4 linked regions of the Struthio camelus genome follow. The protein of the gene in region 4 interacts with the protein of the main gene of each other region in a pairwise test. Links are inferred from orthologs where the notes say so. Each region holds a gene or a part of one and is shown on either strand. Other genes may lie near its edges.

Region 1 (7,908 bases), on a different chromosome or scaffold from region 4:
GGCGGGGGACAATTTGGGGACCCCGTGAGGGGGGTTTTTTCGGGGGGGGGGGCACCTTGTAGCGGTTGCCGTAGGTGAGGTCGAGCTCGGACTCCTCGGGGTTGAAGAACATGCCGGGCTTCTTGGTCATCATCTTGGTGTAGACGGCCTCGTCGGGCTGCACGCGCACCACCAGCTCGTTGCGCTTGCACTGCCGCTGGAAGATGTCGCCCGGCACGTCCCGAAACTGGAGCCGCACCTCCGCCTTGCGCTCGTTGAGGGCCTTGCCGCAGCGCAGCACGAAGGGCACCCCTGCGGCGGGGCCGGCGTCACCCTCGGGCGGCCCCCGGCCCGGCCCCGGCCCCGGCCCCGGCCCCGCTCACCGTCCCAGCGCTCGTTGGCCACGCGCAGCACGGCGGCGGCGAAGGTGGCCGTGGTGGAGCCGGGCGGCACGGTGGCGTCGTCCAGGTAGCCCCTGCGGGCTTCGCCCTCGCCCCGCGGGTCGCCCACGTACTGGCCCAGCACCACGTCCTCCGGCCGCACCTCCGCGATGCTCTTGAGCACCTTCACCTGGGCGAGGCGGCCGTCAGCCAGGCGCCCCCCCCCCCCCCCCCCTCGGGAACAGGCCTCCCAGCCCGCCGGCGCCGCTTCGCGACCGCCTGAAGGCCCGGAGGGTCGCCGAGAGCCTGGGGGCGGCGGCGGGGGGCGGCTCGGGAGCCCACCAGAGGCTGCGGGGCGGGGGGGGGGGGGGGCACCTTCTCGTCCCGCACGTCGTCGGGGTCGGTGGAGGCCGGCTTCTCCATGGCCACCAGGCAGAGCATCTGCAGCAGGTGGTTCTGCATCACGTCCCTGCGGCGAGACGCGCCGTTGGGGCAGGGGGGCCGGGGGGGGGGCACCGCCGCGGCCCCCCCGCCCGCCGCCCCCGCCGCTCGCTCACCGGATGATGCCGAAGTCGTCGAAGTAGCCGCCGCGGCCCTCGGTGCCGAAGGGCTCCTTGAAGGTGAGCACGACGCAGGCGATGTTGTCCCGGTTCCAGATGGGCCCGAAAATGCGGTTCCCGAACCTGGCGGCGGGTGGGTGGGTGGGTGGGTGGGGGCCGCCCGGACCCCCCTTCCCCCCCCCGCGGGGCGCCCGGCCCCCACCTGAGCACCATGAGGTTCTGCACCATCTCCTTGCCCAGGTAGTGGTCGATGCGGTAGATCTGGTCCTCGCGGAAGAGGCCGCTGATGTGGTCCGAGAGGGCGTTGGAGCTGGCCAGGTCGCGCCCGAAGGGTTTCTCCACGATCACCCGGTTCCAGCTGAGCGAGGCGGGGAGGAAATCGCGGCGCTTAGGGTCGCGGCGGCGCCGCCGGGACCCCCGGCCCCCGTCCCGCCGGCGGCTCACCCCGGCCCCATGCAGGCCTGGCGGATGTGGCGGGTGACGGGCTCGTAGACGCTGGGCGGCAGGGCCAGGTAGAAGAGGCGGTTGGCGCGGGCGCCGCCGGGCAGGGCCCGCAGGTGGGCGTCGAGGCGCTCGAAGGCGCCCGCCTCGCCGTACTGCCCCGCCACGTAGCTGTTGCGGGCGAAGAAGGCGTCGAGGCGGGGGCCGTCCTCCGGGGAGGCCTGCGGAAACGGGGTGGGGGGCATGTCAGCGGGGCGGCGGCGGCGCAGCGGGGGCGGCGCGGGGGCGGCGGCGGCGGCGGCACCTTGAGGTAGGGCTGGCTCTGCTGGCGGATCTGCGCCACGCTGAGCGGCGTGCGGGCGAAGCCCACCACGTAGGTGTCGTCCGGCAGCAGCCCGTCCCGGAAGAGCCACCTGCGGGAGGAGGACGGGCAGCGTCGGCCGCCGGCGGGGGCAGCGAGGGCACGAGCTCGGGGGCGGCGGCGGCGCGGGGGGGGGGCCCTACCAGACGGTGGGGTAGATCTTCTTCTTGGCCAGGTCGCCCTGCGGGGGAAACAAAGAGTCGCGGGGCTGAGACCGGCCACAACTCGGTCCCGCGATGGCCGGCCCCAGCCTTCCCCCCCCCCCACCCACCCCGCTCTCGTTAGCGAGGGGGATTAACGAAGCGCGGGGAATGTGCTGAGTCAGGGGTGGCGGCGGGGCAGGGGGGAGCAGGGACGGGACGGCGGGGACGGCGGTGTCCCCGCCCCGGCCGCCGCGGGGTTACACAACGCCTGGGGTAGGCGGAGCGGGGGAAGGGGGGGTGTTTAATTAAGGGGTGTTGGGTAACGAGGCGTCCGGGCGCGGCGGCCCGGCCCCACGTGGGAGCCCGGCCCCGGCACGCCGCCGCCGGCTGACGGGGAAGCGCAGGAAGCCGCTTATCTCCGGCAAACACCGATAGCAGGGGGGAATCCTCACCCCCCCCCCCACCGTGGGCCCAGGCGTCTGGGCAACCCCCCCCCTCCTCTCACCTCAGGGGACCCAGGCGTCCGGGCCCGCCTCCCCCCCCCCCCGCCATAGGGAAAACGAGCATCCCGGCAGCCCTGTCCCGTCCCACCGCCCTCAGGGGGCCCAGGCGTCCGGGCACCCTTGCTCACATCCCCCCCCCCAACCCAGGGGTCCAGGTGCCCCCCCCATGGGGCCCAGGTGTCGGGGCAACACCCCCCACCCCCCCGATACCCCGGGGTCCAGGTGCCCCCCCCACCCCCAACGGGGCCCAGGCGTCCGGACAACTCACCCCCCCCGATACCCCGGGGTCCAGGTGCCCCCCCCACCCCCAACGGGGCCCAGGCGTCCGGACAACTCACCCCCCCCGATACCCCGGGGTCCAGGTGCCCCCCCCACCCCCAACAGGGCCCAGGCGTCCGGACAACTCACCCCCCCCGATACCCCGGGGTACAGGTGCCCCCCCACCCCCAACAGGGCCCAGGCGTCCGGACAACTCACCCCCCCCGATACCCCGGGGTCCAGGTGCCCCCCCCACCCCCAACGGGGCCCAGGCGTCCGGACAACATCCCCCACCCTGATACCCCGGGGTCCAGGTGCCCCCCCCATGGGGCCCAGGCGTCCGGACAACATCCCCCCCCCCCCGATACCCCGGGGTCCAGGTGCCCCCCCCACCCCCAACGGGGCCCAGGCGTCCGGACAACATCCCCCACCCTGATACCCCGGGGTCCAGGTGCCCCCCCCATGGGGCCCAGGCGTCCGGACAACATCCCCCCCCCCCGATACCCCGGGGTCCAGGTGCCCCCCCCACCCCCAACGGGGCCCAGGCGTCCGGACAACCCACCCCCCAGTACCCTAGAGTCCAGGTGCCCCCCCCAATGGGGCCCAGGCATCCGGGCGAAACCCCCACCCCCCCCCGATACCCAGGGGTCCAGGTGCCCTCCCCCCTCCCTCCAGGGACCCAGGCGTCCGGGCACCCCCTTCCCGACGGGGCCCAGGCGTCCCGACACCCTTTCCCTCCCCCACAGAGAAGTCAGGCCACCAGGGCCCAGGCGTCCGGGGCCGGGACGCGATGCTCCATCTTCTTCCTCTTCCCCCCCCACCACCACGCCCCACACGTAGGGGACCCAGGCGTCCGGGCCGGGAGCAAGCCCCCGCCCCCGCCAGCCCCCCGGCTCACCGAGGCCCCGAGGATGACGAAGACGTGGGGGTCGCCCTGGAGGAAGGTGTCGTCCCGGCACAGCTCCTGCCGCAGCATCCCGCACACCTCCGACCGGCTCAGCTCCTGCCCCGCCATGAGCCCTGGGGGCGACGGCCAGGCGGGGCTGGGGGGGGGGGGCCGGCCGTCGCCGCCTCCTGCCCCACCTCCCGCCCCCTTCCCTCCCGCTATTGCCCCACGGCTGCCCCCCAACACCCCCGTTATTGCCCCAGCCCCCCCACTGCTTCCCCCTCTGGCCCCTGTAAACCCCCCACCCCCTCCCACTGCCCCCTAGACCCCCCAACTGCCCCAGACCCCCCCTTGCCGCCCCCAAATACCCCCTTTTACCCCCCAGCCCAGCTACCTGCTATTGCCCCTGACCCCCCCTTGCCCCTTCTCACCCCATTGCCACCCCCCCTTGTCACCCCCGCTCCCTATCACCCCCCATTTCCCCTAATCGCCCCCAACCCACCTGCCCCCGTTTTCCCTCATTGCCCCCCATTTCCCCCAATCGCTCCCCAGTTTCCCCTACCTGCCCCCATTGCCCCCAATTGCTCCCTATTTCCCCTCATTGCCCCCTATTTCCCCAATCACCCCCTATTTCCCCCGACTTCCCTCATCTGCCCCCCATTTCCCCCTATTGCCCCCCATTTCCCCCTATTGCCCCCCATTTCCCCAATCGCCCCCCAATTTCCCCCCTGCCCCTATTGCCCCTCATTGCCCCCCATTTTCCCCAATCACTCCTCATTTCCCCCCATTTCCAACTGCCCCCCCGCAATTACCCCCACCTGCTACCTCCTCCCCGCCCCCCGCCTCCCATCCCCCGCCTAATTACCCCTAATTGCCCCGCTAATTACGCCCCGCCCCGCCCCCACCTGCTCCCTCCGGCCGCGCCGCCGCCGCTCCCCTCACGCTCGCGCGGCTCCCCATTTTCCCCGCGCCGGCCCCGCCCCACCGGCCCCCCTCTCCCGCGCCGGCCAATCGCCGCGCCGCACCCCGCCGTGCCACCAATGGGAAGGGCCCGGAGGCGGGGCCTCGCTCACCGCCCCGCCCCGCCGGCCAATGGCAGGCCCCTCCACCGCCCCCACGCGGCGGGCTCTTGCGGGCGCAGCCAATGGGCGGCGTCGGGGGGCGGCCCGCGGCGTATCCCCCTCCCCCCCGCCATCCGCCGTGCGCCATGACACCTACCGAGGCGGAAGTGCTTCGGTGCGCTCCCGGCGGCGCTTCCGCTTCCGGCGGCGCTTTCGCTTCCGGCGTCACTTCCGCTTCCGGCAGAGGCCGGAAGGGCGGCCGGGCAGCGCGGCGCTCGCAGGCCCGGGCGGCCCTCGGCGCCCCCCGCCGCTCTCCCCTCGGCGCCCGGTGCCGGCAGGCGGGCGGATGAGCGGCGCCCGGTGGCGGCGGCCCGCGGACATGGTGCAGCCCGGCGGCGGCGGCGGCGGCGGCCCCGGGTCGGGGCCGGCGGCGGGGCCGGAGCCGGGAGCGGCGGCGGCGGCGGTGGAGGAGGAGGAGGCGGCGGCGGCGCCGGGCCGGGCCCCGCCGGAGCCGGGCAGCCCCGAGGGGCTCCAGCGCCTCCTGGCCGAGAACCGTGACCTCAAGGGTGAGGGGGGACCTGGGCCTCCGGGGGCGGCGGCGCTGGGGGCCCTGGGAAGTACTGAGGGGTGAAACTGGGCAGACTGGGAGGTACTAGGGAGCAAGACTGGGGGGCTGGACTAGGGGTACTGGGAGACACTGGGAGGTGAGTCGGGGGGGACTGGGAGCTGCGGGGGGGCTGGTCTGGGGGCACTGGGAGGCACTGGGGGGGTTAGACTGGGAGGAACTGGGGAACTGAACGGGGAAGCACTGGGGGGGTTAGACTGGGGGGACTGGGAGGTACTGGGGAGCTGGACTCGGGAGCACTGGGGGGGTTAGACTGGGGGGACTGGGAGCCGCTGGTGGGTGAATCTGGGGGGCTGGACTGGGAGGCTCTAGGATGCTGGGCTGGCACCCAGGGGTGCCAGGTCAGCGGGGCCGAGACCCCCGCTGACCCCCCCGCCGTGTACCCCCCTGCAGAGGCGCTGCGGCGGCGCTGGGGTGACTGGGGGGCGCTGGGGGGGGCCGAGGCCCCTGCTGACCCCCCCCGTGTGTCGTCCCCCCCCCCGCAGAGGCGCTGCGGCGGCGCTGGGGGGCGCTGGGGGGGCCGAGGCCCCGCTGACCCCCCCCCGTGTGTCCCCCCCCCCCGCAGAGGCGCTGGGGCGACTGGGGGGGCGCTGGGGGGGCCGAGCCCCCGCTGACCCCCCCCCGTGTGTCCCCCCCCCGCAGAGGCGCTGCGGCGCAGCAACGAGGCGCTGGGGGCGGCGCTGGGGTGACTGGGGGGCGCTGGGGGCGGCGCTGGGGTGACTGGGGGGCGCTGGAGGCGGTGCTGGGGGGGCCTCGGCCCCCGCTGACCCCCCCCCGTGTGTCCCCCCCCCGCAGAGGCGCTGCGGCGCAGCAACGAGGCGCTGGGGGCGGCGCTGGGGTGACTGGGGGGCGCTGGGGGTGGCGCTGGGGCGACGGGGGGGCGCTGGGGGCGGCGCTGGGGGGGCCTCGGCCCCCGCTGACCCCCCCCGTGTGTCCCCCCCCCCGCAGAGGCGCTGCGGCGCAGCAACGAGGCGCTGGGGGCGGCGCTGGGGTGACTGGGGGGCGCTGGGGGCGGCGCTGGGGTGACTGGGGGGCGCTGGGGGCGGCGCTGGGGGGCCGAGGCCCCCGCTGACCCCCCCCCGTGTCCCCCCCCCCCGCAGAGGCGCTGCAGCGGCGCTGGGGTGACTGGGGGGCGGCGCTGGGGTGACTGGGGGGCGCTGGGGCGGCGCTGGGGCGACTGGGGGGCGCTGGGGGCGGCGCTGGGGGGTGCTGGGGGGGCCTCGGCCCCCGCTGACCCCCCCCGTGTCCCCCCCCCGCAGAGGCGCTGCGGCGCAGCAACGAGGCGCTGCGGCGGCGCTGCGACGACTTCCGCCGCTGGCAGGCGGCGCAGCGGGACGAGCGCGACTTCCTGCTGGGCCGCTTCCGGCAGGCCCGGGCCCTGGTGGAGCGGCTGCGCGCCCGCCCCGCCGAGCCCCCCCCCGGCCCCCCCGAGGGGCAGCGGGAGCAGGAGGAGCAGCAGGAGGCGGCCGCCGCCGGGTGAGGCCGGGGGGCCGGGGGGGGGGGCACGCCGCCGGCCGGCCCCCTCCTCACCGCTCTCCCCCCGGCAGGAGCGCGGCGGAGCTGCTGCGGCGGCGCCTGGCGGCGGCCGAGGCCGAGTGAGTGGGGCGCCGGGGGGACGGGGCGGGGGGGGGGGACGCACGCGGCGGCCCCCCCCGACGCCCCCGCCCTGCCGCCCGCAGGCAGGCGGCCCTGCGGCAGGCGCTGGAGGCGGCGCGGGAGGCGCGGGCGCGGGCCGAGAGCCGGGCGCAGGAGGCGGCGCGGCAGGCCGAGCTGCAGCTGCAGGCGCTGCGGCGGCAGCTGGAGGTAGGTGACGCCCCGCCGCCGCGCCGGGTGACGCGACGCCGCCGCGCCGGGTGACGCCGCCGCGCCGGGTGACGCCCCCGCCGCGCCGGGTGACGCCCCCGCCGGGTGACGCCGCTGCGCCGGGTGACGCCGCCCTCCGCCCCCCCGCCGCAGCAGGACAAGGCGTCGGTGAAGGCGCAGGTGACCTCGCTGCTGGGCGAGCTGCAGGAGAGCCAGAGCCGCCTGGAGAGCAGCCGGCGGGAGCGGGGCGAGCTGGAGCACAGGTGGGGGCGCGCGGCCCGGCCCCCCCCCCGCCGGCCCCCCCCCCGGCCCCGGGGTGACGCTGTCGCCGGCAGGGCCCGGGCGGCGGGCGAGCGGTGCCGGGCGCTGGAGGAGGCGGCGGCCGCCCACAGCCTCCAGCTGGACCAGCTCCGGCTCCAGGTGCAGAACCTGGAGGCCGCCCTGCGGGTGGAGCGCCAGGGGGCCACCGAGGAGAAGTGAGTGACGCCGGGGGGGGGGCTGGGGACAGGCGGGGGGGGGGCGCCCGCCCGGCCCCCTCCTCACCCGCCCCGGCCCTCAGGCGCAAGCTGGTGCAGCTGCAGGTCGCCTACCACCACCTCTTCCAGGAGTACGACACCCACATCAAGGCCAGCCTGGGGGACGACAAGCGCACCCAGGTGGGCGCGGGGTCCCCACGGCGGCTCCCGAGCCCCCCTTTCGTCCCCTTGGGGACCCCAGGGTGGCTCCTGGTCCCCTTTCTGGTCCGCTCAGAGCTCTGGGTGGCACCAGGGTGGCTCCTGGTCCCATTCTGGTCTCCTTGAGGACCCCAGGGTGGTTCGTGGTCGTCTTGGGGACCTCAGGGTGGCTCGTGGCCCCCTTTCTGGTCTCCTTGAGGACCCCAGGGTGGTTCGTGGTCCTCTTGGGGACCT
Region 2 (7,143 bases), on a different chromosome or scaffold from region 4:
GCTCCGTGGAAGTCCCCTCTTCTGGCCCATTGGTTCCAACCTAGAGCTGACCACGCTGGCTGCTGCCGAGCACCGCGGTAGCTGATCACGTGCCAGTGTGGCGTCAGCTCCAGCAGAGCTTCCATCTCAAGCCAAACGGGCTAAGGACTTGATACGGTACGTTAGCGCTGCAGCGCACTGCGTTGCTCCTCAGTTAGAGGAACGTCGCACTTGCACGCGGCCTATCCCCATCTTACTCAATGACTTAACTAATTTTGGATGCCCGCTCTGCAAGAGGCGGTACTGCTTCTGAAGTACAACTAACCCTAGAAGCAGCAAAGGAAACGTTAAGCTTCAGTTAATAGCTTTGAATTTACGAGAGAGCTTACATATTTGTAAGTCTGTGTTATGAAAGAATCACAGCAAAGCAAAGCTTAATGCAATTTCTTCCTGCTACTTCATTCAACCTGCACTACTGTTAAATCCAAAAGTGGTTCGAAACCTAGAAAACTACTTCCGGAGGATCCTGCTACTGATACAACTCTTCATGTAGTACTTCCTTATCTTCCTTAGCTTCATTCTCTATTTCCACCTGCTCTTACTCAAAACGTTTGTTTGGTAGCCATGAGGAGAGCAGCAGAATGAAATTTTTATATCCAACCACAGTAAACGAGCTGAACAGGCCCTCCTTTATCTGCAAGTATTCTTGGATAAAAGAACAGTGGCAGTAAACATACCAGTACTGTGAGTGATTCTGCATATCAAGAACTCGAGCACTTACATAGATAGATCTGCTCTGACAAAGTAATCGATCTGTTGGCAATGATTTAAAAAAAAAAAAAAAAAGGAAGCAGCAGCAGCAGCATTGTGCAAGATCGCAAATTACAATTCTTTAAGCACAGAATAGGACAAAAGGGAAGTTTTCTCAGCAGTTTAATATTTCTTAAAAATGCCGAAAACTGAAATAGGCATTAACAGTATAAACCCTAACTGCTCTATGAACATATGGAGAATAACACATAAATCAAAGTGAAAGCACTGGAATATAAAAACCCACAAGGTTACAATAGGTTGCATCAGAAACTGTCCTTTAACCAGTGCATTAAAACCACCCTTAAACAGTTGTAACGTCAGCTGATGCAAAACAACAGTTTCATCAACTGAGCCACTGAAAACGTGTTCCTTTTAGGAGAACTGTACCTAGGGAAAACAGCCACAGCTTGCTGAGTTCACTGTTCCTTTATCTTCACCTGCTCAGTTCATTGCATTTTTGCCTTTGAATAAAGCTAAAAAAAGGTGCAGAAATGTGTAAGTAAAAAGTTAAGTAATCTCACAGGGGCCAAGCAGCCTTGAGAAGAACTACCATGCATATACTGTTAGGATATGCTTTGACCTATCTACTTTGAACGTGGATTTTATTAACTACTGTGTATAATAATAACAATAAAAAGGTCTTTCCACGTGAAAGTTGTACTTAACAACTAAGTAAAAAAAAAAAAACTAAGTAACTTTAGTAAAAACTAAAAAACAAGCAAACTGCCTGTATTAAAAACATTCACAAGCAGTGAATGACAGAACGTGTTCACTTTAAAAGTGAGGCAAAACTGTAACTATATAATTTACTCCTACCAGGGAGCTAAAATAATTCACTGTAGCTACTCAGTAAGGCGAAGTAACTGAAGAACTGCAGTTTGCAACCACTTTCACCATTGTTCCACATACACCACTAACACCTGATCAATGCTACCTCATGACAAGTCAGAAATCCCTAAGAAATCCTTACTGAGAGCTAACTTGAAACAGATATTCCTGAGAGCCTGAAGAAAATCTGCATCTCCTCCTTTCAGAGCAGTTTCATTTCAAGACCTACGGCATGTTGTATGACTATGCAGAACACAGCAGCTACTTTTCCAAAAACCTGAACTTGAAAGGGGGATCATACACTACAAATCTTTTCTATACATGGTACAAATTAATGCCACTGACATGGATGTTTCAATACCTTTTAAAAACTGGTAACATTTACCTGCAATGAAAAACTTGCTGTTATGCTTTTAATGTTTCTCTCACCTTGTTAATACTACTACACGATGCGACGATAACAGAAAATAATTTCTTTCAAAAGAAAAAAAAATCACATATTAGCTAAACTACCTCAGGATGCAAAGAAAATTATAAGCAGTCAAATTATCAAGGGTACTGTCATAGGCTACCAACTCAGCTATAGTAATCAACTGCGCACGCGCTCTTATTCTGTTTTGCTTTATACTGTTTAAGCAACTATGCTGCACTTTTCATAGGAGTCAAACGTACTTTCCTTCACGACTATGAAGGACACGTCCACTATTATCATGGCTCAGCTGACAAGATGAGAATATGGCTGCTTGCAGTGGTCTGTCCACACTCCTTCTCCTATCCTTGTCTTGCAGATATGGAGATGGAAAACATGCAACTCTATCTAGGAAAAGTGACAACTGTTTTCCACTGTTATATTTTCGTCCACATCAAAGCGTTAACATAGTACAAATGCAAAACCTTCCATTACCTTTGGCCCCATGGTGACAGCTACAGCATCTGCTAGAAGATCTACTCCTTGAAGCATAAGAGCTCGGGCATCTGCTCCAAACTTAACATCTTTTGCATATGCTCGCGTTAGATGGGGGGCCAGTGCTCTGGACACTGGCCTTGTCCGACGGAGTAGTGTAGATAAACGAAGCATGTCTAAAAGATTAAAACACCACCACAGAAAGATATGAATACCGTGTCCTTTGCACGGCGACTTTTAGAATAAAAAGGGGAAAAAAAAACCTCCCAAAATTGAGGTAGTAAAGCAAGTGACCATGACCTTTCATTTTCCGATTGTTTCGAACGCAGACATACAATTACCTGAGGGTAAGAGAGCTCGGGCGCCCAGCTCCTCAAGAGGAGACCTCAGCTCCAGCAGCTCCTCATGGAGCAGCCTCCAGCACCTCTGAGCTCCTCCCGCCTCGCTTCTCCCGGCTGTCGGGCGGGAGATGGCCAGGGCGCTGTAGCACACAAGCCGTTCCGTTTGCCAGACGGATCCATCCCCTCAGGCAGCACCACTTCACCGGCAAACGGGGGCGGCCGCGCGCACCCGGGCGAGCGGGGCGCTTCAGGGTAGCGCCCTGACGGCGCGGCCCGGCGAGGCCCCAGCGCCCGACCCTGCCTCCCACGGGCAGCCCTTGCTCCGGGGCGAGAGGAGGAGAAGCAGCCGGGCGCGGCCGCGGCGGGCAGGAGAGGGCCGCCGGCCACGTGTCTCCTTCCATCAGGACACGCGCAGCAAGGTCAACAGCCGCTCGCCCCCTGCCGCCGGGCGGGCCGCGCTGCAGCGCCGCGGGGCCGCCTGGTCCGCCGCGACCCCCGGCCGAGCACGAGCACGGGCGCGGAGCGCCCCTCCCCCCGCCCCCCCCCCCCGCCGCCGCGGGGGGAAGCGCACGAGCCGCCGCAGGGCCCCGGGCTGGGCGCGCGCACGCGCTGGGCGCAGGCGCGCGGCCCCCGTCCGCAGCGCGCGCCGCTCTGAAGGCGGCCGCAGCGCCCCGCGTTCGAATCGCGAGAGCCGTTGCAGGCGGCGCGCGCCCCTAACGGCCGCAACCGCCGCAACGCCCAAAAGGCAGAGGGCAAGGGGCGAGGGGGCTGCGCACCCGACCCACTGGCATCCCCCCCGTCCCCGGGCAAGGCCGCTCCGCGCCAGGCCGAGCCCGGCCGGGCCCCGAGCAGGGGCAGCCCCACACGCTCACCTCTGTGCAAGGCGGGGGAGAGCGGCAGGCGGCTCCGCCGTCCGGACTCGAAGCGGAGCGGGCAGATCTGCGCGCGAGCCCGGGAAGGCGCTCAGCACTCACTAGCTCGGCCCCTCCCCCGGCCAGGCAGCCACCCATGTGGGGCTCCGCGCGGCCCAGCCCGGGAACCAGCATAGCCGCCGCGGCCCCGCCCCTGGCGCGGGCGCACGGCCGCAGCGCTGCGGCGCCGCCCGCCCTCCGCGCATGCGCCCTGGCGGCCCGGCATGAGCCACTCAGGTTCCGGGGCCCGCCAGTTCCAGAACCTTCTGGAACGCTCATGCTCGCCGCGGGTCAAAGGTGACGTGACCTCACTTCCGGGCCGGCGCGGGGCCCCGGGGCCCGGCGGGCCCCGTGCGGCGCGGGGCGCGGTGCCGTTGCAGCGGCGGCCGCCCTGCGCGGGGGCCGCGGGCCCGGCGGGGAAAAATAAACGGCGGAATCGCGGCTCGGGGGGGCGGAAGGGCTCCGCCTCGGGGCGGGCCGCGCGGGGTGGGGGGGAGGGTTGCCGCGCGCATGCGCAGGTGGTGACCTTTTTCACGTGTGCGCGGCGCAGGCCCGGGTCACTCGGTGGCGGGGAGCGCGGCGGCCGCCATGGTGAGTGAGTGCCCGCCCGGCCGCCCGCCCGCCGCGGGGGCTGCGAGGGGCCTGTGCTGCTGCCGCCGCTGCCTAGCAGCGGGCGGGGGGCCGCGGCTCTGCGCCGCCCGGGGGCCCTGCAGCGCCCGCCACTGCTGCGGGCGCCTCCCCGGGCCGGCGGCGGCGGCGGCGGCGGGGGGGGTGCGCGGCGCGGCGGCTCGGCTCGGCGGGCGCGGGGCCGTTTTGGGAGCCCGTTGGGAGCGCGGCAAGGGCAGCGCGCCCTTGGGGCGAGACGGGCCGCTCGGGAGCCCCGCGGGCGGGCGGGCGGGCGGGGTGCGGCGCGGCGGCCTGGCCCCCGAGCCTGGTGGCACAGAAGCCAGAAAGGCGCTTGGGGGTTCAGCGCCTGTGCTTGGCGAGCTTGTGCGGGTGGAGCTCGCCGCGAAGAGCAGCGGGGCAGGGGCAGGGGCGCCCTTACCGTGGAGCTGGAATTTTTTTCCTGTGTTCGCATTTTCTAATTCGGTGTAAAATATCCGTGTTCATAAGTCTAATTGCTTATTTCCCTTAAGCACAGGTCACTTGAAAAATAAATGAAGCTCAGAGCTGTTGTTTTCATAACTGGCAGCCTTTTCCATTTGTGCGGGTTTTTTTTTCTTCCACGTTGTAGTAGTAGCAAGTTTTTTTGGGGGGAGGGGGGAAATGGGGACAGCATCTTTTGTTTACTGGGCTTTGTGTTTGTCCTGCCTGTAACTTTTGAGGCATTCCTGATTTTTTTTAAAGCATGAGAGTGTATAACGATGGGTCTCGGGGAAGGGACCTTGGATGCTAGAACCTTCTCTGAGTGGGCTCTGGATACCTGTCTAGTGGAGCGCTATCTCCACGTGACTTGGCAAGTCTCCAGACCTTTGCTCTTCATCAAAGCATGTTCCTTATCCCTGACTCTGCACTTGCATTTAGTCTGTGAGAATGCAGCTACTGTTGCTGAAATGCAGCCAGTAGCAGCAGTAGGTAGTAGCAAAAAAGTTAACTCTTAAGCAGAGGTAGCTGTTGACTAGTTTCCTACATGAAGGAAAAGCAGCCAACACACAAATGTGCCTAGCTGCTTATTCTTGGGGGTTTACAAAAACCTTCACTTTTTTGCAAAGTTGTAGTCTATTTGTAGAACTCAGTAGAAAAAAACTACACTCTCACTTCAGACTTCAAACTTTAGAAGCTGTAAATTGTTATATGAAATGCTAAGCTTTGAAAATACCTGAAAAATACACACAGTACATGCTAGATTTTGCTTTTTTACTATTAAACGTTCCAGTACAGCCGATAAAAATGCCCCCAGAAAACTAGCCCGAGAGGTCCTTCATTAAATCTGGTTGTGACTCAATAAATACATTTCATATACTCATCAATAGTGATGCTAACTAAATTACAGGAGCACTAACGGTTTAGAATCGAGCAGCTTAAAAGCTGATGGAATTTTCCAGCCAAATGAGAAGGCAGCTCCATCTGGTGGTGATTTATGATGTTAGCTGGAGTACATCTTTGTATGGCTGAAATCTTAGGACTGCCCAGGGTGTGCCTGTTAATTCTGCTCAAGAGAGAATTGTTTCTAGGCTTGAGATACAGAACACCTGCGGTTCAACTTTGCTTGTTTCTTTAACTTTTTTTTTTTTGCTGCCATTAAAGGTTGCATATACTTGCCACTATTAAGAACAACTACCCAGCATCTTTCTTAAATTCTTGACTTCTCTTGGAAGATAAACCACTGTGAGGGTTTGAACTTTTTTATTGCCATTTTTTTTTTGTAGTGATCTTCCTGTTACAATATACAATTCCTTTCACAGGCAGGAAAGGCATTTAGGAAATTTCTTCCCCTCTTTGATCGTGTTCTGGTTGAACGATGTGCAGCTGAGACTGTAACCAAAGGAGGCATCATGATTCCAGAAAAAGCTCAAGGGAAAGTGCTACAAGCAACAGTAGTGGCAGTTGGATCGGGAGCCAAAGGAAAGGTAAATGGATCCAACTTTGGGTAGAGTTGGTAATGGTGTGGTGGTAGCTGGAAGCTTAACATAAAGGGATCGGTTGCTGTATAAATTTGGTTACACTTCATGACAACAAATGAGGATGATGAGATTCCTACCGCCTCTCTTGAGTCTGCACTTCAAACTTCACTCAAGTGTCCACCCTTTCCTCATTGGCTCTGACCTTGAATTCCAGCCTTCCTCTTGCTTCTAAAATGGGAAATAATGGCTTTTCAAAAATGAATGTTATTTATTGATATTTACAAGCAGCATTAAACAGTGGGAGGCTTTTTCAGTTTTGAATACTTAAACTATGATTTTCTGGGATGCCTTGTCTGATCACCTTTCAGGTGAAACGTATGGGATTGGCAGCTTTATTTCTTCAACTGCTGCTGATCGCATGCCTGAATTCCTGTAATTTGTGAGCAGGGTGGAATCCCAGAATGTGGTATTCTGTGTCTTAACGCGGTGCAAAATATCGTTGCCCGTAAGCATCAGTTAGGCTTACTGGACAAAAAGAAAATTGGGAATCAAAAATAACTGTTAGGTCAGTTTTCTTGAATTTTACGTGTTAAAAAAACAGGTCTAGGATCATAAAAAGGATAGTGACAGTCTTGACTTCGTTTCATAGTCTTAATCGGCCTGTGGGCTTCAACGTTTCAAGTTTTTTTCCCCACCAAAGAAAGTATCCATTTAGTAGTAATAGTGCGAAATGTGTTTAAAATTTAACTTGTGCATGTTGACTCAGACTCTTTCTTTACCTTGAGTCCTTCCATAGATACTGA
Region 3 (7,202 bases), on a different chromosome or scaffold from region 4:
ACGTGGCGAAACGTGGCAAAACTGCTTTTCTCCGCTTGCGAGGACATTCCCGCCGGGGTGCTGACGGCAGCGGGTGTCTCACGGGCCACTCCGCGGCTGAGCTCCTTAAAACTAGGATTTACTCCAGGGAGACGGCGAAAGGCTTTGCCGCTCGTTGCTCAACCCACCCACCCGTCTGCCCATCTCCCTTCCCTCCCTCCTGGGCTGCAGTTAAACGCTGAGATTTCGTGCTGGCGGGTCGCTTCTCCCTTTGGGCAAGAAAAATATCAAGGGCGATTTAAGCCCAGAGAATTTATCTTAGGTTCTGCTTGGGGGTTTAACGGAGATGGGTCCAAAATGAAATCCCGATTCCCGCCGGCGTCGGAGCGGCAGCGGCCTTGAGCCTTGCTGCCGGCAGGCAACATCGATCGCCGTGGCGTGGGCTGAACACCCACGGCAGGAGCAGCGCTTCGGGATAAGCCAACCGCGTTTTGTGCCTCTTGCCGGCCAAAATCGCCGCGCTTGGGCCGCCTCGGAGGCATTAACTCGGCTTCTCCTGGCTCGAGAGAGCATTTGCGGGTCGATTTGGAGCGCCGGGGCACGCGCTTCTCGAAATAAATGGCAGGCACAGCTCAATCTCCGGGGTGCCGAGCTGCCAGCTACCTGCTGATGGATGGGTGCAGCCCACCGCGGAGCAGCAGCAGGATTTCGGGCAGGGCTTTGCAGGGCTTTAGAGGATGCGGCTGAAGCCGACGTGCTCCAGAGATCGCTGTTAGGCGCCCGAGGTGCTCGCTGCAGTTTGGCAGGCGCGGGGAGGGGGGAAGCCGAGGCAGGGAGCTTTCAAACGCAAGGCTTTGCGACAAGCACCCGCTTTGGCTTGGTTTGGATTTGCCCTCCTGGATGAACCCCAAGCTGGGGGGGGGAGATGGGTCTGCTGGGAGATGTGGTCTTTTCCCAGCTACGCGGAGCCGTTTCCGCCTCGCCAGCCCTCCGCCGCCGGCCAAAACGCTGCCGGCGGCTTCATCCATCCCATCCCCGTCCCAGGCGCCCCATCCCTCCTCCGTCCGGGATCAACCCAGGGATCTTCCCACGCTCTTCTCCCGCGCCGGAGAGCAGCCCCGGCGCCCGGCTGGGTGCCACCGGCGGGGCGAGTCCCGGCCCGAGGCAGACCCCGGCGGCGGTACCTTGTGGCTGGCGGGGTGGCACTCGTCGCCCGCCTGTCCCAGCGGCGTGCACATCCGCAGGCCCCGGAGCCAGAGGCTGACGGCGCAGCAGGTCCCGCTCCCGCACTGCAGGTCCCGCTCGCAGGCCTGCGGAGAGGCAGAACAGCCGTCGCCCGCCGCCTTCCCCCCTCCGCCCGCCCCGCTCCGGAAACCCCCACCCAAGCTTTTTTGGAGTGCATTTTGGTCATCGGGGTTTGCATGTCTGCCCGTCCTGGGGGAAACTGAGGCACGGCAGGGGTATGTGCGACAGGCGGCTGGAAACACTGCCAGATTTCGCCATCATGCCCCAAAGCACCTAAAACTGAGCTGATGGGGCACCTCCAGCACCGGACCGGTGCTCACGGGGCTCGTTTTGCTCCCGGCACAGCGCTGGGGTTGCTCATGGCCCCTCAGGACCCCTTTTCCACCCCTGGATTTTCCCATTTCCTCGAGAGCCAGCTCTGACATGGCATTGAGAAAAAACAGACTTCGGAGTGACTTTATATTCAGGAACAATACGGACTTGCTGAAGGAAGAAAAGCGAAAGAGCGAGTAATAAACTCCTGCAAAAAAGCCCGAAGCAACCAGGGAAAGGTGTCGCTAACTTTTCCATCCCTTTTTCTTGGGAGCTCACTGCAAATAAGAGAGGTTAAAAGAGGCAGGGAGTTAATTCCACATCTCTGAACAGACAGTTTGACTTTCGGCAGCACTGGGGGACGAATTGCAGAGCGAGGTTAAAGCAACAGCTTGCCCCAGAAACAGAGCCCTCGGCTCTCAGCAGCATCGCTCACGGCTGGCACGGGCTTTTCCTGGTGTCGCCCCCCCTGGAATTTGGGACCAAACCGCCAATCGTTAATTCGCGTGCTGGTAAAATCACCGCGTCCCTTGCTTTAAAAATAATAATTAAAAAAAAAAAGACAGCTTTAAGGTAAAACATCAGAAATGAGGAGCATTTTGGGGAGAAAGAGAGGGACTCACAAATCACTGCTCCGCACTCGCCCGGGGCGGGGAGGGGGGAGGCCGGGGCCGGCTCCCGCGGTCGGGCGCAAACTCTGCCCGATTTCCAGGACGCGCGAAGCCCCCCAGGGCGGCGGGCCCCGACTCACCCCGGTGATGACAGCGCACCGCTGGAGCGGCGGCAGCAGCAGCAGCAGCAGCAGCAGCAGGCGGCAGGCGCCCTGCAGGACCCTCCTCATGGTGCCGAGGCGCTCGGCCGCGCACCCAGCTCCGCGAGCGCCCGTGCCTCGCGCCCTATATAACGCCCCTCCGTCTGCCCCGGATGCCAGTTGGGTATTTTTTTTTTTTTTCGGATGAGCTCAGAAGAAGCAGATGAGACCTGACTCGCTAACGGTAGGAAAGAAATATTAATAAATCACCCAAGCAGCAGGGGATAAAACATCACCAGTCACCTGGGCTTATTTTTCAGTTAAGCCAACACAACTGGATTTTTCAAGCATACTTATAGACACATACATTTATCCCTGCCTGACGTACTTAAGAATTCAACTAAGAATTTTTGACTATTCAGCCAAAGCCAAAGACGTGACAAAAAAAATGAGCCTGGGACTTCCCAGATCATGGTGCACAGCATGGAATAAAGTGGTGGCCTGTGATAAATACCCTGCCCTCCCGCAGCGGCCCGTGAAACTCAGGGTGGCTCTCTCAGCGCCTTCTCCTACCTGAAAAAAGGGGGTTTTGTTTAAAAAGAGCATCAAAATTTCCCCAGTGTTCGTGCAAAGGGTTAGAAACCCCTCCTTCCCGATGGACGCTGTGCCGTTGCAGCCCGGTGGCTTTTTGCGCTGATTTTTGTTCCTCGCTCTCCGTCCTCGGTGTTTCTCTTTGGCTTTTGTTCAGCAAAATCGTGTCGAATCAAGCTGAATGCAACCTGGGCTGCATTTCTGGTGGGAAAACTTTTTTCCCACGGTGGGAAAACCTTTTGCTGGCAAGGCCGCAGCAAGGTCCCCCCCTCACCTCCCTCAAGCCATTGGGTACCATCACCGCAGCATCCAGGCTGCCCGTGAGCATTAATGAATTCAGCCCCCTCTGTCCGTTCCCCAGGAGAAGCAAACCAGGAGAGGAAACTGAGTCACGTCAAGACCCACATTAAAATAAAAAGGGCTGCCAATAGGAGCCGCTTCATATTTAAGTGGGCGCCAGGCTGAGCGCCCACAAAACCTGAAGCGCTGAAAAAACAGCGGCTGCCATCGCCGATTTGGGGACGTGAATGAAATCCAGCCACCGGCCTCAGCAGCCCCGGGGTGACGCTCTGACCCCGAGGGGTTTATTCGGGCTTTTCTGCTGCCGGCAGAATTTCTCCTGGAGAGCCTCTCCGTGAGATGCTAAATTGTCTATATATTTAATTAGCTGGCACACTAAAAATAGCCGGGCAATTTTCTCCGCTGGCGAAGAGCGATTCTTCTGAAGCGGCAGCTGTTCTGACGGGTCCTACCGCTTCGGTAAGGTCTCGTCCACCCGCTCTTGGATTAATTACTCCCAACCCCCTAAATTGCCCCTGTTGAGCCAGAAACACTGAAGTCTCAGGGCAGGGAATGGCCTGAAACCTGCTGGTTTGGGCCCATTTCCTTGCAAAGGTCCCCGCGGGGCAGAGAAGACGCAGAGCCCGGTGGCTACGTGCCTTTTTGCTCCGCGTCGTTTCCCAAGGTGGAAACCCCCCGCCGCCTTGGGAAAGGCTAGGGCCAAAAGCGGGCTCCCGGCGAGCAGGGCCGCGCGGAGCCCGGCTGCCGCCGCCGGACCCCTTTGCAGCTCCCCCAGGAGAAAAATGGATATTTCTGGGCTTCGCCTCTCCCATCAATAACGTTTCAATTTTCCGCCCTGACAAGCCGAGAGGCAGCGAGCGGCGGCGGCCAAAGCGGCTCCAGCCGGTGCCTTATTAGCAATGCGGACGCGCTGGTTGTAAATCTTCCTCCTCCTCCTCCTCCTCCTCCTCGCCACCTGCGAGGCTGTGTTTTGGGAGGGCTCCCTTGCAAAAGCCCCAGATGCGGGCAGCACCAGCGCTCCCAGTTATCCCAGTGCTGCAGCCGCCAGCATCCGGATGGGAGATTTCTCCCTCTATCGTTTGTGCCCCCCCCCCAAAAAAAAAACCCACACTCATTATTTGGGGGGAAAAGGCTGTTCTGCCCTTTTTTAAGGGGGCTCCGAGCGGCTCCCTGAGCCCCCGCAGCGCATCCTCCCTCGGATGGTGGCTGGTCCCTGGCGTCGCGCAGGGCTCTGCCGGGAGGCTCTCGGCCCCGGAGGTGCCGGCCAGAGCGGGCGCGGTTTTGGGGGAGCCGCCGCCCCGCGCCGCCAGCGCAGCGAGTGCCGCCCGCGTTCGCGTAGCGACGCCTTTCGGCCCCGCGGAGCCGCCGTCCGCCAGCGCGCGTCACGTGAGCGACGCCGCCGCCAGGAGCGGCGGGGCAGGGCGGAAGCGGCGGGGCGCCATGGAGGGGAGCTTGGAGCAGCACCTGGAGGACACGTGCGCCGGGGGGGGGGGGAACCGGGGGAGGGGGATGTTTTGGGGAGGGGGAGGGGGGAGGGAGGCACCGGGGCTGCGCTGACCGCTCACCCACCGCCGTCTGCCCCCGCAGCATGAAGAGCCCGGCCGTCGTGGGCGTCCTGTGCACCGACTCGCAGGGCCTGAACCTGGGGTGTAAGTAGCGGAGCGCCCGTGTGGGGGCACCGGGCCCTGCCTCTCCCCCCCACCCCGGTTTGGGGGGGCACCGGGCCCTGCCTCCCCCTCCCCACCCCGGTTTGGGGGGCACCGGGCCCTGCCTCCCTCCCCACCCCGGTTTGGGGGGGGCACTGGGCCCTGCCTCTCCCCCCCACCCCGGTTTGGGGGCACCGGGCCCTGCCTCCCCCTCCCCACCCCGGTTTGGGGGGGGCACCGGGCCCTGCCTCCCCTCCCCACCCCGGTTTGGGGGCACCGGGCCCTGCCTCCCCTCCCCACCCCGGTTTGGGGGCATCGGGCCCTGCCTCCCCCTCCCCACCCCGGTTTGGGGGGGCATCGGGCCCTGCCTCCCCCTCCCCACCCCGGTTTGGGGGGGCACCGGGCCCTGCCTCCCCCTCCCACCCCGCTTTAGGGGGGGTACCGGGCCCTGCCTCCCCCTCCCACCCCGCTTTAGGGGGGGTACCGGGCCCTGCCTCCCTCCCCACCCCGGTTTGGGGGGGGCACTGGGCCCTGCCTCCCCCTCCCCACCCCGGTTTGGGGGCACCGGGCCCTGCCTCCCCCCCTCACCCCAATTTAGGGGCACCGGGCCCTGCCTCCCCCCTCCCCAGTTTGGGGGCAACAGGCCCTGCCCTGCTGGACCTCTCCCCCCCCCCCCCACCAATTTGGGGACATCGGGCCCAGTCCTGCCCCAGCTCCCCTCATTTGGGGTCACTCAGTCCTGCCAAAGCCCTCCCACCCAGGCCCTGCCCCACTGAAGTCTCCCCCCCCACACACACACATTTTGGGACATGAGGCCCAGGGAGGGCGGCAAAGGCGAAGGGCTGGAGCAGCCCCACAGCACCGTCACGGCGAGCGCGGCTTCACCCGGCCTCTCCGCCGTCCCGTAGGCCGAGGCACGCTCTCCGACGAGCACGCCGGCGTCATCTCCGTCCTCGCCCAGCAGGCAGCCAAGCTCACCTCCGACCCGACCGATACGCCCGTGGTGTGCCTGGAGTCGGACAGCGGGTGAGCGGCCGGGCCTGGCGCATCCGCCGCGCTGCTTTTCTCTCCCTTTGCCTTTCGCTTCAGCCTTGGAGACTTTCCTCCTCTCAAGCTGAACTGGCAGACACGGAGGAAGCCCCATCTCAGCCTAGATGCCGACACAGGCACATGAAAGCAGTAGTTTAATGGGATCTCCAGTAGCAGGAACTGGAGAAGCAGCAGGAAGCCTCTCAGAGGCTGGTGGCTACTCCAGCTCTATGCTTCTTCCCCACTTGGCATCTACATGGATAATTAAGCCCATCCTGTAGCCTCAGCCACTGTTTTTGCCAGTGTGGTAGGCAAAGGACAGGTCTAGCACACAGCTGGGGGTTGCTGCAGCCACGAAATGATACCGCTGTCTGCTTTCCCACCCGAGTCAGAGCTTCGTCATCACTGCAGCTGGCTTAACTGCCTCAAACATTACTTTTTTGTTGTCGGTTTTTTTGTTTTGTTTTGTTCTAGGAATATCATGATCCAGAAGCACGACAGCATCACTGTAGCAGTGCACAAGCTGGCATCCTGACCTCTCGGGAACCTGTGCAGCGCTCCCACCTCCAAACCAGCTCTTCCTCACTGGACAACCACTCTCCTCTGCTGCTCCAATGCAGAACGTGCTTGTAGGAACCAAATCTGGCCTGAAGGCTCTTCCTCTTTACTTAACAGCTCCTGTGCAGCTATCGGGTTCTTCAACTCGCATTCTAGCGGTCATGCTGCCAAGAATGAAATGTGGGTCACCGGCCAAGCTTGTGTAATGATCAGACAATACGAGGTGTGCGCGTGTGTGTGTGTGGCCTTATTTGTTAGAGAAATCAATAAATGACCTGCAAAAACCTGCATTTGCTTCTCTCTGCTCCTGCTGCAAAAACTGTTGCCTCTTGGTCTGACAGAAGTCAGGGAGCTGTTTCCAGAGCCAGGTGAGGTAGCTCCTCCAAACCCTTCTTCCTCAGCATTTCTCTAGATAAATGGAGCAGTGCATAAAGAGTTGAATTAAGGGAGGCTCCTCCAGTGGAAAAGGCACAAAAACTTTCCTAGGAATTTTTTTCTAGGAAATGTTTAGCCTCCTCTGGTTAAACTTCCTGCATGAAGGTTACTTGCTTACCATGCCTTGGATTGAAGTTCAAACTGAAACTTGTTTGCCCTGGCTGTGCTGCCTGCCCCCGCTCTGCGTGAACTGGATGTTGATTACACCTTCACCAATCCAGGCCAGTTTTCACCTTACAGATTCAAGCATTTCAAATGCTGCTGGGAACCAATCCTGCAGGAAGCCTTTGCCCCTTGCAGTACTGGTAAACTCAAATTCTGCCTATGTATTTAAGAGAGGGAAACAGAGATTACAG
Region 4 (7,988 bases):
AATTCCCTCTGCTTTGGGATGCAGTTTTGCCAGATCATCTGCCTCAGACTGAGTCAAGAGTCTAATAGAAACGAAAACATCCTATAATGTACACATGTAACCTGCGTTAAGAATTTACCCTTTGTGATTTATTACTTCACATTTTTCAATTCTTTGTTGTCTTTCTTTGATTAGAGAGAGTTTTCTCTGGATATTTCGGGGGGGGGGGAGGGGGGGAGGGAGGTTTGTTTGCATTGCCAGTGTGAATTTTAACTTCCACGTCTGGATAGCTTTTATCAGCTGTGCCGATATACTGAGTAAAGAGAATGAAATGGTTCTTCAGAAGCATGAGGTAGTAAAGGTCTGATTTTAAAGGTGTTGAGCACTCACCTTTTCTATGGATTTTAGTGGTATTTACAAGAGCTCATCATGTCTAGAAATCTTTCCAAAAATTACTTCCAGTAAATTTGAACTGATTAATACTAGGACTGCATGCAAACAACAGTAATAGAAGTAGTATAAGCATCTGTTTGAACAAAAGCAATTATATTTAACTGTATCAACAGATTGATGTGAAAACTGTAGACGCGGTCACCTGAAATACTTTACAACGTGTAACAGCATCTTCCATAGAATCATAGAATAATTCAGGTTGGAAGGGACCTCGGGAGGTCTCTAGTCCAATCTCCTGCTCAAAGCAAGATCAGCTACGAGATCAGGCCGGGTTGTTGAGAGCTTTATCGAGTTTGGTCTTGAGAACCTCCACGGATGGCTGGTTTTATTTTGTGCTCTGCTAAGATTGTAACTTAAAGTGTATGTATTGTTGTCTCTTCCCTCTACCAACTAACTTGTTTATATATAAAAATACTCGTTACTCATATTAAATGATTTGAAAAGCTAGCTTCTTCAAGAAGTTTCAGTTACCTAACCATGCTCAGTTCAAGTTTTGAAGCATATTCTCTGTCTAATCTCTTGGTGTGTAAATAACACCATTAGTCTATTAATTGTTCTAATAAACACTGAGATGACTGTTAAATCTGCTAATAAGTATTAGGATGATGTAGGGAAAAGGATTTCTTAACAGATATAGATGCTTTCTACTTCTAGCAGGAACCAAGGCATTGAAGTGCATTTATAGATGGAAGTAAAGCTGTGTGCTCATCCTATAATGTATGTTGAACGTTTGGACCAACATAGTTACATACAGCAGGAACTAGGAAGTACGTCATAGTAAGTATGAGGTTAAATTATTCTGTAAATTATGAGGTTAAATTATTCTGTAAATTATTCTGTATTGCAGAATAATGTAGTGCACCATCTTTTTTCTTTTTTCCTAATCACCAATTAGTATTTTTAATTTGGTATTTTTCCACCAGTCTTTCTGAAAGTGCCCTCAGGAAATCTTAGCGTCTCTTCCATATATCGTGAGCTCTGATAAATACAGATCTGATAAACCCAACACCTTAAACTGTGTTTATAAAGCCTGTGTTTACTCTCACTTATGAATGACCATGCTCATTGCAATTAGAATAGTTATGTAAGTGCTACCTGCACCTTTGCAAGGGTCTGATCAAAAAGATGCCACTTCCACATGCATGTGGAAGCGAACATTAAAATTATCGAGGCGCTCAATGAGAACATCTTTTATTTTCTAGCGTGATTTCACTGACCTTATTTTACATTTATAGTATACTCTCTATAGCTATGTATTAAATTGAAAATAAGACTGTAGTAGCTAGTTTGATCTCCAAATCTAGTAAACATTTATTTTTACGCTGGTTAGAATATTTGGCCTAGATATGTGGACAGCGTAACTTTCGTTTCAGTACTATTTGACCTAAGAGTCAGGACTTTCTGCAAAGGTGGCTACTCCATAGGTTTCTACAATGTTAAAGCTTTGGAGAACACTTCTGTGTATTCTTAACACTGCAGGCATATATGAGGATGAGTTATTTCAGTGTAGCATATGCTCAACCATGATCACGGGAGAATGAATAATTTTTTTCCCCCCACAAAGCCCTTCCAGCAATGGTCGGGCTAGACTTTACAAGGACTGCTCCAAAGCCTGAAAGATCTTGACTTCTTGAAATCTCTTCGTTTCTTCATAAGCCTTTCGTATCAAAGAGAATAGTTTTGTCTAATGAACAGAATCAGAAATATGTAACAGGCTATTTGCATCCAGGATTTAATCCAGTAAATGCCTATCTGTGTTAGTTGTTTGAGAGGATTCTTCAGAATGTATTTCCACTGAATTATGTGAGACTACTCATATATCTGAAAGCTGCCCAGCTGTATAAATATTTGCAAGATTGATAATAGGAATGTTCCGCGAATAGAATGGACAATGAAAGACATGCCAGTTGTTGAGAGAATAAAAGCGTGCATTGGACCGATTAAGGAGGAAATAATAAAATTCTTGTGCAAAGTTCAGTTAAATAAATGGAGGAAAAAACTGTTGTGGACTTGAATCAGGACCATGATTAAAAGGTTGTACAACAAATTCAGTAGACTTTCAGCCACATACATACCACAGAAATTCCTGTCTTAAGAAATACGTAGTTCCAAACGGCTTCATTTTAAAAAAAGACTTCTAAAATAAGTTATTTTAAAATTTAAAAAAGTCCAGTTTATTATGGGCCACGTAAGAAATCAGTAAAATATTTCCTTTCTCCTCCCTTTGTTGAAGCACAAGGAACTGATACCTATTGAAAGTTTTAAACTATTTTTATTAGAATGGATCCTTTGACAGATCAGTCCACTAAAAATACTTTCTACTGAAATACCCATTTTAGAAGCTAACTTTGAAGCATCCTGAATAGTACTCCTTTTAGCTTGCGTTTACAAGCTGTCTTCGCGTTACAGGAGACCCAAAAAGCGCTGCTTATCTTCCTTACCAAATGTTAATTACCCTTTTGTCATCAACCTGAGCCTTTAAATTACTTTATGGTCATGGATATTTTTAATTTTGAAAAATAGAAAGTTCTGTTTCAAAAAAGTGATCCATTTCCCTCCCCCCCCCCCATTACTGTGTCTTCATATGAAACTTCTTCGCTTCTTAACAGCATTTCTGTTCACCTAAATGTTAGTTCTGCAGAACGTTGAACTCTGTCTAGCTGCTACCCGTTTCCTCCTAAAAAACATTGGAGAGAAAGAACTTTAACTTTATTCCTTTCCTAAAAAATAGTGAGTTTAACAATATCTAAACGTTTTTGCAGGTTTTTACTCAGTGAAACTGAAGCTGTCAGCGTGTGATTTTTATTTAACAATATCTGAATCTTTTTGCAGGCTTTTACTCAGTGAAACTGAGGCTGTGTGTGTGTGTGTGTGTGTGTGTGTAAAAGGTGTTTTCTAAACTCAACAGCCTGTTTAATACATGACATTTTCAAATTATTTTTACAGCCTAATTTTTGTTAATTGTGGATGTGGAAAAATACCAGATATTTATGGAAACATTTCACTTGTACATCAACCCATGAAGTAGGGTGAATTTGTTTGTTTTTGTTGGGTTTTTTTAAAGAAACTATTTCCACGCTTTACTACTCCAATCTGGAGAACATTGCAGCGAATGAATGGTTTTGTTGACTTTGCTCTACTGAAGACTGCAGTTGGGCATATCTAAGCAATGGCCTCTAATGGAGGTGTTTAAAGTACCTGGAGAAGGAAATAGAGCATGCACTCTTTCTTTCTTCGCAGATATCATCTTTTTAAAGGGCCATGTGAAAATATTCATCTTTTTAATTTCTCTTTAATAGGTATCTGAGATTTGAATATGTAATGGGTTTTCTTGTCTCGTTTAGGAGTGAAGGAATCAGAAAACAATTCAATCCGTTGGAATCATGAGGACTTGTTGAGGGAGCCAGGCCATCCAGTAGTTCTCTTGTTCATAAATGTTGACCTCTCAAAAAATAGCACGAGGGCACTTCATGCAATTTGGGGTTTTTTGCACACAGAAGTCGTATTTCTTAAATGTGTAAGTGATTCTCTTTGGTCACACCTGAAGCCTTTCCATTTCAGATGCAGCCTGTCTTAAAGCATGTCCATCTTGACTGGTATTTTGTGCGAAAAAAACCTTTTAACTTTTTTTCTCGCAATGGTGCCAGAAAAAAAGAAAAATCTTTTTAAAAAGCCAGACTACGTGGTTTCCTGTTCTAGTGTAACGGGGTTCCCTGGACTCCTGCTCGCTCGCTCTCTCTCCCCACCTCCGTTCCTGGGGCACTTGGGATATAATGAGCTGGAGGGGTTCTTCCTTTCCAGTATCTCAAGCAACTGGCAACTTTAGGCTAGCGAGTGCCACTCAGACTGAACGAGTGCCACTCAGACTGAACGACAGTTCTGATCTCATTGATTGAGTTCCTTTGTGTCTCTAATAAGAAACATAATGAGGGTGCCTGGGGCCATTCTCCAGGGCTTGGTTTAGCTGCTAGATGTCCCTGTGCTGGACCTGGTACTGATCCAATCTGTACAACTTTTTCTTCCCCATCTTCTCCATGTGTGGGAGGGTCCAGAGGAGAAATCTGGCTCAACCAAACCCTGCTGTATCTCTCCGCTCCCCTTGCTGCTGCTGCGGTCATCTTGGAGAAAAGAAAGAAGTTTTAAGCTTGTCCCTTCCCCCCCACCGTGTATGTTGAGGGCCAGGGATGATGAAGACCAGCCAGCTCTTAAGCTCCTTGTAGTTCTCCAACAGCAATGGCGTAGTCAAGCAGTCATCCCTGTGCCTCCCTCACCTTTCTGTCCCACCCTGACCTGCGCCTGCCTGTTCTATTCTTTCATGATGTTGGTGCAACTCGTGACTCACACCCACGCACGCCAAGGGCTGCTGGAGCTCTTGGCCGATGCCCGTTCTTCCGACGCCCTCGACCCGGCCGCCCCCACTCGCTCGGTCAGGGCTGCGGCTCGCCAACCGCCTGAGCCGGCGGCAGGGGCTCGCGGGCGCCGCCGGGCGGCGGGCGGGGCGGGGCGCGACGAGCCCAGCCTCCCTCCCTCCCTCCCTCCCTCCCTCCCTCCCTCCCTCCGCGGCGGGGAGGGCCGCGAGGCGCCCTTCGCGCCGAGGCCGCAGTCCGCGGCGGGGAAGCCCCCGGCGGCTGCGCGCCGCTGCCCGCCTCGGCGGCCGCGCCCTTTGCCCGCGCTGCCTCTCGGGGCCGGCGCTGCCGGGGCGGAGCCGCTGGAACGCTGGGAGTGGTGACGTGTCGCTTAGGCGCCGCCCCCCCCGCCCAGCCTATATAAGGGGAGCCGCTCACGCCGTCGGTCTTTTTCGCTCCGGGTTTGCCGCCGCCGCCGTCGCCGCCTGGCAGGTGAGGCGCGCCCGCGCGGGGCAGGCCGGGGGGAGGGGGAGGGGCCGGCGGGGCCCCACGCGGCGGGCGAGCGAGCGAGCCGTCGCGCGCGCGGGGGGCCGCCGGGGAAGGGGGATCCGCGGGGTGAGGGGCGGGCGGCGCTGGGGAAGCGGTGGCGCGTCGCCTCCTCGTCGCCGCTGGGGCCTGCGGAGCGGCGTGGCCGGGCGCGCGCACGCGCTCTCGGAGGCGCGAGGCGCCCGCCGCTGCCCCGAGGGCCGTGGCGGCCGCTGGCTGCGAGGGGGTGGTCGCGGGCAGGGGAGGCGGCGTGGGGGAGCCGGGCCCGGGAGCGCGGGCGGCCGGGTGGTGCCCCGGGCTGGGCGGCGGTGGGGGGAGGGGAGGACGGGGTGCGCGGAGGAAAAAAAAAATGGCCGCTCGCTTTTCCTGCCGGCTGCGAACTTCACAAAATGGAGGACGCGGCGGCCCGGGCGGGGTGAGTCACACACAAAGGAGCGGGCCGGGCCCCGCCCTCCGCCGCTGCCCGTCAGCCGCCCGCGCCGCCGCCGCCGCCCTGCTCCCCGGCCGCCGGGGGGTAACTCGAGCCCCGGCCGCGGTGCGGGGAGAGGAGGGGAGGGGGGCGACGAGCTGGCCTCCGCCGAGGGGCCCCCGGCCTGCTCCCGCCCGCCGGCTCCTCCCCTCTCCCGGCGGGGCGGAGCCGCGGCCGCGAGGACGCCGCGCGTGCGCGCGCGGAGCCGCCATCACGGTCTGGTGCCCCCTTTCGACTGCTCCCCTGGGTGTCACCGAACGGGGCTGCGGTGGGGAAACCTGTGGTCGTGACTTCGTTTTTACTTCTTTGTTTGTTTGCTTGCTTTTTGGCTTTTAGGTGTCGATTCTCTTTTGCCGAAAGAAAGAGCTTAACTAAACATCCAAAATGGGAAAGGAGAAGACCCACATCAACATAGTCGTCATTGGCCACGTCGATTCTGGCAAGTCCACCACAACTGGCCACCTCATCTACAAGTGTGGTGGCATTGACAAGAGGACCATTGAGAAGTTCGAGAAGGAAGCTGCTGAGGTTTGTGGGCCTTCAACATCCAGCAGCACGTAAAGGGAGCGTGGGTGAACAAAGAGAAGTTCAGTCGCAAAACTAAGCTGATAAATTGCGAATGTACTGTTTTGCGGGCCGCTGGTTTGAAATTGTGCCCATAGTTGAAAAAGCAGTAGTGTTTGTATCTCTTGAATCTGCGCATTCTGTTAGTTGGCCCCCGCTCAAATTATTGATGCTGAAACGAGCAGAACAGAAGAACAAGTAGCATCTACATAACGACGGTAACGATAGTCTGGGATTGGAGCTAACGTGCAGTTCCCGTCTTAAGTCTTTGTGTGCGTTTAGTTGAGGATAAAATTAAAGCAGTTGTTATGATTGCTCTTATACCGGAAAATCCAGGAGTGCCTGCACTTCAGCACTGGAGCTTGTAGAATGCTAATCTTAAACAAATTATTCATCCTTTTTCTATGTAATATTGGAGATCAGGTCTTAGCAAACATTTTACACGTGAAACATACTAAAGCTAGTGTGAGAAGCAGTTTAGATGTTTGATTGTGGCGGGGATTGCATTACTAAGAAAAGAAAAATTTCTGAAGGACACTTGATAGGAGAGCTTAGCTTTACAAGGTTTAACTTGTAATGTGTTAGTACAGTTAACAAGCTGTCAAGAGTACTAAAAGTGTCAGCAGGTTAAATAACAAAACGAGTTGGCATCTGTCACTAGTAGTGCCAGATGAATCTAGGCCAGAGTTTTGTAAGCAACAACACTTACCAGTATAAGCTACTCTTATTTTTAGATTTTTGCCCTTTAGGTAGTGTCTCTCAGTTCGTGATTTTTCTGAACAAAATTAAGTACGTATTTCAAAAACACTGAATTTTTTTCTTAATCGATAGATGGGCAAAGGTTCCTTCAAATACGCCTGGGTCTTGGACAAGCTGAAAGCTGAACGTGAACGTGGTATTACTATTGATATTTCCCTGTGGAAATTTGAAACAAGCAAGTACTACGTCACCATCATTGACGCTCCTGGACACAGAGACTTCATTAAGAACATGATTACTGGAACTTCTCAGGTATGTAAATAGAACTAAGGATTTTAGGAGCTTGGGAGTGGGGTGTTTTTTTTGTTTGTGTGTATCTTAACACACAGACACGTATGTAAACTTCATAGTTGATGTTACTATTTTTTTCTTTCTTTCTTTCTTTCTTTTCAAAGGCTGATTGTGCTGTCCTGATTGTCGCTGCTGGTGTTGGTGAGTTCGAGGCTGGTATTTCCAAGAACGGGCAGACCCGTGAGCATGCCCTTCTGGCCTACACACTGGGTGTGAAACAGCTGATTGTTGGTGTTAACAAGATGGATTCCACCGAGCCACCTTACAGCCAGAAGAGATACGAAGAAATTGTTAAAGAAGTCAGCACTTACATCAAGAAAATTGGCTACAACCCAGACACTGTAGCTTTTGTGCCAATTTCTGGTTGGAACGGAGACAACATGTTGGAGCCTAGCTCTAACGTAGGTTTGACGTTTGTATTAAGAACTTAATTGATCCTCAGTAATCTTATTAGTTCATGTAATAGTAAAACATGCATATGTTTCGGTAGTTTAAGTTCAGTTTGTGGGTGCTGAGCTCAAAATCGGATCGTGCCACTCGACAAATTCTTAGTCTAGTCTTATGTCATCAAAACCAGCAGA

The links.
Region 1: the proteins of EEF1A1 (region 4) and IKBKG interact in a two-hybrid assay, tested with the Homo sapiens proteins (2 studies listed by BioGRID and IntAct, with this or other methods). The link is inferred for Struthio camelus from reciprocal best matches to the Homo sapiens genes EEF1A1 and IKBKG.
Region 2: the proteins of EEF1A1 (region 4) and HSPE1 interact in a two-hybrid assay, tested with the Homo sapiens proteins (2 studies listed by BioGRID and IntAct, with this or other methods). The link is inferred for Struthio camelus from reciprocal best matches to the Homo sapiens genes EEF1A1 and HSPE1.
Region 3: the proteins of EEF1A1 (region 4) and LAMTOR5 interact in a two-hybrid assay, tested with the Homo sapiens proteins (2 studies listed by BioGRID and IntAct). The link is inferred for Struthio camelus from reciprocal best matches to the Homo sapiens genes EEF1A1 and LAMTOR5.

The regions. Positions count from the first base shown.
Region 1 is NC_090979.1:45,538-53,445, reverse strand, and holds the start of IKBKG (NF-kappa-B essential modulator), read left to right. Parts: upstream 1-4,903; 5' UTR 4,904-4,918; coding exon 4,919-5,138; intron 5,139-6,456; coding exon 6,457-6,673; intron 6,674-6,744; coding exon 6,745-6,792; intron 6,793-6,876; coding exon 6,877-7,000; intron 7,001-7,153; coding exon 7,154-7,263; intron 7,264-7,335; coding exon 7,336-7,476; intron 7,477-7,559; coding exon 7,560-7,656; intron 7,657-7,908. Other genes in the region: G6PD (glucose-6-phosphate 1-dehydrogenase), read right to left, coding at 56-291, 363-549, 735-828, 917-1,042, 1,122-1,277, 1,364-1,581, 1,665-1,773, 1,865-1,902 and 2 more. UniProt on the Homo sapiens protein: Regulatory subunit of the IKK core complex which phosphorylates inhibitors of NF-kappa-B thus leading to the dissociation of the inhibitor/NF-kappa-B complex and ultimately the degradation of the inhibitor.
Region 2 is NC_090947.1:11,797,981-11,805,123, reverse strand, and holds the start of HSPE1 (10 kDa heat shock protein, mitochondrial), read left to right. Parts: upstream 1-4,136; 5' UTR 4,137-4,364; coding exon 4,365-4,367; intron 4,368-6,181; coding exon 6,182-6,346; intron 6,347-7,143. Other genes in the region: HSPD1 (60 kDa heat shock protein, mitochondrial), read right to left, coding at 2,525-2,698. UniProt on the Homo sapiens protein: Co-chaperonin implicated in mitochondrial protein import and macromolecular assembly. Together with Hsp60, facilitates the correct folding of imported proteins.
Region 3 is NC_090965.1:4,483,362-4,490,563, reverse strand, and holds LAMTOR5 (ragulator complex protein LAMTOR5), read left to right. Parts: upstream 1-4,517; 5' UTR 4,518-4,618; coding exon 4,619-4,653; intron 4,654-4,765; coding exon 4,766-4,827; intron 4,828-5,732; coding exon 5,733-5,850; intron 5,851-6,327; coding exon 6,328-6,388; 3' UTR 6,389-6,701; downstream 6,702-7,202. Other genes in the region: PROK1 (prokineticin-1), read right to left, coding at 1,164-1,289, 2,288-2,377. UniProt on the Homo sapiens protein: As part of the Ragulator complex it is involved in amino acid sensing and activation of mTORC1, a signaling complex promoting cell growth in response to growth factors, energy levels, and amino acids.
Region 4 is NC_090944.1:42,400,610-42,408,597, reverse strand, and holds the start of EEF1A1 (elongation factor 1-alpha 1), read left to right. Parts: upstream 1-4,986; 5' UTR 4,987-5,270; intron 5,271-6,129; 5' UTR 6,130-6,177; coding exon 6,178-6,321; intron 6,322-7,188; coding exon 7,189-7,368; intron 7,369-7,511; coding exon 7,512-7,808; intron 7,809-7,988. UniProt on the Homo sapiens protein: Translation elongation factor that catalyzes the GTP-dependent binding of aminoacyl-tRNA (aa-tRNA) to the A-site of ribosomes during the elongation phase of protein synthesis.